2 linked regions of the Kluyveromyces lactis genome follow. The protein of the gene in region 1 binds, or shares a complex with, the protein of each later gene. Links are inferred from orthologs where the notes say so. Each region holds a gene or a part of one and is shown on either strand. Other genes may lie near its edges. The genes, in order: KGD1 and KGD4.

The links.
Region 2: KGD1 (region 1) and KGD4 share a complex: the UniProt entries of both Saccharomyces cerevisiae proteins name them as parts of the 2-oxoglutarate dehydrogenase complex. The link is inferred for Kluyveromyces lactis from reciprocal best matches to the Saccharomyces cerevisiae genes KGD1 and KGD4.

The regions. Positions count from the first base shown.
Region 1 is NC_006042.1:429,819-434,392, forward strand, and holds the start of KGD1 (alpha-ketoglutarate dehydrogenase KGD1), read right to left. Parts: upstream 2,968-4,574; coding exon 1-2,967. UniProt on the Saccharomyces cerevisiae protein: The 2-oxoglutarate dehydrogenase complex catalyzes the overall conversion of 2-oxoglutarate to succinyl-CoA and CO(2).
Region 2 is NC_006040.1:989,894-992,474, forward strand, and holds KGD4 (alpha-ketoglutarate dehydrogenase subunit KGD4), read right to left. Parts: upstream 1,207-2,581; coding exon 805-1,206; downstream 1-804. Other genes in the region: 3',5'-cyclic-nucleotide phosphodiesterase PDE1, read left to right, coding at 1-465; DIG1 (Dig1p), read right to left, coding at 1,854-2,581. UniProt on the Saccharomyces cerevisiae protein: Molecular adapter that is necessary to a form a stable 2-oxoglutarate dehydrogenase enzyme complex (OGDC).

The sequences.
Region 1 (4,574 bases):
TCTACCAGCATATCTAATAATAGCATCCTTGTATTTGTCAGTTTCCTTCAAGGTAGTTTGCAATCTTGGTTGAGCATATGCCCATCCACCCATGTTTAATGGTTCTTCTTGACACCAAACGATGTCTTCCAAGTTTGGATAGGTGTTTAAGGCATCACGCAATTGAGCGTATGGGAATGGATGTAGTTGTTCAATCTTAATGAATGCAGTGTTCTTGTCTTGGATAGTTTCACGTTTTTTATGCAAAGCAGTGTAAACTTGACCTGACAATAAAACAACTCGCTTAATCTCTTCCTTTGGTGCAATGCTCTTACCTAATTCGACATCTTCTATGATCCATTGGAAGCCACCTTCGGTGAATTCGTTCAAGTTGGATCTAGCCAATGGGTGACGTAACAATTGCTTAGAGAAGAACAATGCCAGTGGCTTACGGAATTGTCTATGTTGTTGTCTTCTTAGGATGTGGAATAAGTTGGCTGGAGTGGTTGGATAAACAATTTGGAAGTTACAATCTTGATGTTGTCTTTGCAACTTTTCTTCACTTGGGAAATATCTTGGATCTTCGTTACCTAGTTGCAAGAATCTCTCCAATCTACCTGAAGAATGCTCTGGACCTTGACCATCGTAACCGTGAGGCAAGGACAAGACTAACCCGGATCTTTGCTTCCATTTCACTTCACCAGCGGCAATGAATTGATCGATGATGACTTGAGCAGTGTTGGCGAAATCACCGAATTGAGCTTCCCAAACAACGAAATAATCTGGGTTAGTCAAAGAGTAACCATACTCGAAACCCATACAACCGTATTCAGACAACGAAGAATTACAGATGGTGAAGTTAGCTTGTTTTTCAGACAAGTGCTTTAATGGAGTGTAAGTATTCTCGGATTTTTGGTCGTGAAGAACAGCATGTCTTTGTGAAAAGGTACCTCTTTCAACATCTTCACCAGAAACTCTGACGTGATTACCTTCCAACACTAAGGAACCGAAAGCTAATGCTTCACCGGTAGACCAGTCAATACCTTCACCGGATTCAACTGCTTTACCTCTGTTGGTTAAAATTCTCTTCAAGTTCTTATGAACTTCGAAGTTCTCTGGCCATGAGGAGATGGTCTTACCAATGTTCTTCAAAGTATCAGCATCAACGACGGTTGGTTCGTGGGATAAGATTTCAGTAGCTAAAGCCTTTGGAGACTTGAAACCTTCCCAAGCAGCAGTTAACCATTCTCTTGAAGTTGGCTTATAGTCCTTTGCCTTCTCATATGCTTCCTCGAATAGACCCCAAACCCATTTCTTATGTTCATCGATATCTTGCTTGGTGAAGGAACCTTCAGATACCAACTTTTCCGTGTAAACGTCAATGACAGATTTTTGCTTAGAAATCTTTTGGTACATTAATGGTTGTGTGAAGGAAGGTTGGTCAGTTTCATTATGACCATGCTTTCTCCATCCGACGACGTCAATAATGGCATCAGTGTGGAAAGTAGCTCTCCATTCAGCAGCCAAGTTGAAAATGAATGTAAGAGCTTCAACATCGTTGGCATTTACATGGAAGATAGGAGCATCAATGGTTTTACCCAAATCAGATGGGTATAGAGTTGATCTAGCGAATCTTGGATCAGTAGTGAAACCGATTTGGTTGTTTGTGATAACGTGAATGGTACCACCAGTAGAGTATGCTGGCAAATGTAGGAAACCCATGGTTTCGTAAACGATACCTTGAGCAGCGAAAGCAGCATCACCGTGCAATAGGACGCTGATGGCCTTGTCATACTTGCCAATATCGTTCTTAGAGAACTGGATGGCTCTAGTTCTACCCAAAACAACAGGATCAGCGGCTTCCAAATGAGATGGGTTAGCAACCAAAGACAAGTTAACGTATTTACCAGAGGTAGTTGGTCTTTGGTAATTCATACCCAAATGATATTTCACATCACCGGAACCCTCGTATTCTTCTGGAGCAACAGAACCCTTAAATTCTGAGAAGATGGATTCGTTTGGTTTACGCACCACATTAGACAAAACGTTTAATCTACCACGATGAGCCATACCCAAGACAACATCTTCAACACCTAATTCAACGGAACGGTCAATCAAGGTCTTGATACCAGGAACAACACCTTCTAAACCTTCCAAACCGAATCTCTTATCGTTAGGGAATTTAGTAGATAAGAAAGTTTCAAAAGAAGTAGCCCAAGTCAGTCTATCCAAAATTTGTCTCTTTTGGTCTACGGTATAATTATAAGGTTGTGGGATTTCAATTCTTTCTCTTAACCATTCACATTGTTCTTTTGAAGGGATATGAATGTATTCGATACCGTATCCAGAACAGTACAATTTTTCCAAAGCAGCAATAATTTCTCTTAGTTTCATGGTCTTTCTACCATCACGAGAGAAACGTGGCAAGATACCGGGTCCCAATGTGATATCTCTATCTAGATCCTTTTCTGTGAATCCATAGTGTTCCAAAGTCAACTCACGAGGTAGAGGTTTACTCTTATCATCACCAAATGAAATTTGTAACGGATCAATATGAGCCTTCTGGTGACCTCTTACTTGGTAAGCACGGCACAAAAGTTGCACTTTTAAATGTGTTGTGATGTCTTGGTCAACGCCACTTAACGAACCCCCTATCAATATATCTTGAGGCACACCAGGACCCGTTGGTATTGGAATTAATGTTGGTGGGGCGGTGAAGGCAGAAGAGGCTGGAATATTCAGATTACCCATGTTCTTGAAATAAGCATCCCAAGAGACATGAACTGAAGTGGGATCCTTTTGCCAAGCTTCGTACATCTCATCGATATATGATGCATTGGTGGTGGACAGGAAGTTGTCCGTCGAAGATGCACCACTAGCCAATCCACGACTGAAAACAGCCAAGGAAGTCGGTTTGCTTACAGCACCGATCCTGGTGAATTTAGAAGCATGTAACAAACGCTGAGATGACCTTATAGTTCTCAACATTGTTCAAAAGACAGTTATTTTTTGTTCTTTTCTGTATAACGAAAGAAGCAAAACACAAACCTTAAATCAATAGATGGTCGCTTTGTTCTGTACGTGTGTTGTAAAATTGATATATCCAGTTATCAAGTAAAAAAATCCCTTGCAATTCACAAAATGTTGAACTTTTCAACGATGATTAACTTTCAATGAATCTTTCTCGTTTATATCTTCTTTTGTTTTTATTTTTTTATGGCTCTTCTTTGTGAATTTTCAATCCAAAATTACTCACAAAAAAAGGGAACAAAAGAAGAAGTACTTGATAGTAGTAGAGTCAGAAACTAAGACGACAACAGGCAAAAACTTCGATTCAAAATTGACTGTTTTTGTTAACGTTCCTAATTAATTGAAAAAAAGAGATATCCTACTTGCGAACACGAAGTTGAAATAAAGCTTCTTCAATCTTTTTTTTCTTGTCGGAAGATCTTGAAAAAATACCCCCGATTTTTTTAATTTCCCGTTCTCTTTCACTTAAATAAGCAGTGAAATTAATGTATAAATCCTGTATCTTTTATACTTTTTAGCCGATAAAAAACAGAAATACCAACAAAAAAACTAAATTAGAGTAAGCAGAACTCAAACAGTGCCAGAGAGTCGAGTATTGCGTTTACTAGACGAGTTTAATTTAACAGGCAAATAATAAACTCCGTTATTATTTTCCTTCTGTCTCCTATCTTAATTGTATTAAGGCAGGCCTCTTGAATCTTGAAAATAATAAATACCTCTTCTATAAAAATAGTAAGAACCAGTATTTATATAGGAAATAGTAGATGCACTATATATATTCACGATTTTGTGTGAAAAAAAAGCACTCATTCAACTATTAAATGGACCACCAATATCTCTCTCGTGCCATTTCCCCGGTTTTGATCCTCACTCCCATTTTCTTTCTTTCTTCGAATCGGTACTGATACCTTTAATGCCTGTAGCTCTCTAGCAGCTTTATGTGGTTTTTGCATAAGGTTTCCTTGCTACATGGTGGAACAAACAAGTGTTTTAGTGCCGCTTACTCAGTTTTCAACAATACGAGAATGCCAGATAGTAAAAGCTGTAGGGCATGGTCTGCGAGTAGGGGTCCGGTGACCCGTTTTCGGATTCGAAGACGGGAAACTACCAGATTCATTTTGTGGGACAGCCCGGAATTCCGGGTAACGTTTCAACATTTTCTTTTCAGTATTCCATATTCAGATAAGTACTATGCAACTCCGTGCCAGACTGGCTGATGGGTTTTAAAGTGTAAGCAAAGGCTGAGTGCGGTTGACGGTATGTGGTGTACGGACATTCGTCAACCCAACTCGGTCGCGAGAAATTCTTTGCTGTCACTTGACCATTGCTTGATTATCACTTGGTTCAAGATGTTTCAATCAATCTTCGTTCGATACTTCCAATACTACTACTCTCAAGGTTAAGCTACACTAGACTACAGGTTTTTGAGGCTCAACTCATCTTCGGAAATTTTATAGTTGAAAACTCCAGGCAATTGTTATGATTAAGAAGGAAAAGAATCAGTGATTTAACATCAAAAAGAATTGAGGAAACGTAAAGTGGCTCTATATTGAATCGAGCTCTAG
Region 2 (2,581 bases), on another chromosome or scaffold:
ATAGATACCAAAGAACCTGTACTGAGCACAGCGTTTCTATTCCATGAGCACCAAACTGATGGACATGTTCTGATTTGTGGTGACACTGAATCAGATCTTGTCTCCAAGACAGACTCTTTACTCAACATATGGACATATCTAGCAGAGAATGTACCCATTAATAACTTGAAGGCCATCGTACTTGAGTGTTCTAACACAGACGAAGTGGATACAAGCAAATTATACGGGCACTTGTGTCCTCAGCATATTATATGGGAATTGAAAAGGCTAATAGAGGTATACGATGTGAAGCCAGAGAATTTTAGCTTGCATGTGATTCTAACACATGTGAAGGATATCGATTCAGAAGAGGATCCCAAAATCACTGTGTTGAAACAGGTAAATAAAAGGTGCAAACAGCAAGGATTAGACAAATATAATATCAGTTTTTCCATGGCGATCCAAGGTTTTACAATGATTCTTTGATATACAGATTAGCGTGATAATTTGAAAAAAATTCATCCTTATCCCATTGCCTGGGCAGGACCAATCACATAGACAAAAGAATGGCAAGGATGTTTGGCACCAAAAGGTTATAGATGTAATAATTAATAGGTAAAAGTAGAATTGTTGTATTAATCATAATAGATAATGGTGTTTTCTAAAAAAAAAAGAATTGTATTCGAAATGGATCGTTTGCTGTTCAATGAGTCGTAGATATTGCAGAACCAAGTGAGTTCGTACAACTATGATAAATAAATGTATTGGTATTATGTTTCTTTAACGATTATGGAAAAATGAGAGGCTGAAAAAAAGGAGATCCTATCATATACCACCTCCGTTAATGATTTCTATCTCTTGTTCGTCCATAGGTCTCAGTTTGAATCTTGGGGGTAATTGTGATATGGATCCAACTTCATTTTCTTCCAAAGGTCTGTTTTTAAACACATATTTTGGTGAATTACCAGCAGCTTTAGTAGAGGAACCCTTACCGGAAGCACTCTTATTTGAGTTCACGTATGGAACCACCTTGAATGGAAGCCATTTCTTTGCGACTTCTTCGACCGTAGAACAACCGGGAGCACCAGGCCTTAGTGAGTCAACGGTACAAGGATGTAAACCAGCATCCGCAGCAGAATGGGTCACTACAGGGTGAGGGCCGCCAACAAACTTGATTGAAGGAACATATTTGACTGCTTTAGCCAAGTTAAGAGTGGAAGCACGCATCTTTACAGGCTTTATAATCTCTTTATTCAAAGTTTCAACACCAGATCCGCGAGCCTTTTTCAATATCTGGGTCACTGATCTCGTTAATCTATCAATGAACGTCACGGTGGATTAATCACTTCTTACAGCAAGTGAATGGTCTAAATAACGATCTTGAATTGCAATACCTTCGGGAATCAAAATCGGATGTATCACAAAATGAGGAAACCTTAACACAAAAGTGGGAAAAAAACCTGGTTACTATTCTTACTTCGACTGTTCAATCAACGATTCACAAGTAACCAACAATTTTATCTGTTAATTGGCAATCTACTCAGTTACAGGAACCTTATAAACCGAGAGCCTTAATAAAACTGATAGAGAGTATGTATATATATATATACATCAAGACCGTTAAAGGTTGGCAAGCATATTGGGATACTTCGAGGAATTAATATATTACCCGGCCATTGTATCGGCCCCGATTGGGAACGCGTAGAGGACGACCGGAAATCCGATTACGTGAGCCACGTGACCACGAGTGTCACGTGACAGAGTGTCACGTCTGTCCCAACCGTTATTCATCTGGATGGTCTAGTGACGCCATGCACTCGATCAAGTTGTTTAAAGTTACAAATATGTTATATGAGGGTGGGGAAAAGGAGCGCCTATTCCCTGCTTACTACATCGTCCCATATTTTGGAACAAATGCTGAGGAAGAGCTTCTTATCCATTTGAGGGTCCGTTGAATCGAAATGGAATTGGAAATTTTCCATCATCAGTTGTATATCGCCTTCTATGACGACGTTGTTGCTATGGTCTTCGATTTCAATGGCATCAAAGAATTCTCTCTTGGTGGATTTAGGTTGTACGCTTAATGGAGCAATTCTTGTAGTTTCATCCTTGAAAACGTCCCTTGTCACTGAATTAGTGGCTCTGATAGGGTTCGACACGAATTGTTCGAAACTACGTTGGGTGTGAGGTGGTGCGGTGGTTGTAGGGTAAGCTGTCATTGGCGCATATTGATGTCTCATCAGGGGACGCGGCACGATGGGTGACGAAGTTTGAAACATCGGAATTTGGCCCGCTAAGTTTCTGGTCAAAGACCGGCCTTTATAAATGACTCTTGGTTTCGACACTCTGCTGGTTCTTTGTGAGAATGTATGTGAACTTGGAATTGGATGTCTTGTTACCATCGGTGGAGCTGACCTTATATTGGGTAATGATCCATTAGGTGTATTTTGCTTTGATTTTAACGTAAGTGGTTTTGGTATGTTATTTCTTTTCAATGATTTGGATTGACTCTTGGAAGTGTTGATTGAAGTCTCGGTACCAGGAGTGGTGGTACCATCTATCGAATTACTTGAGGATGATTTGTCAGTTTCCAGGTCTGAGG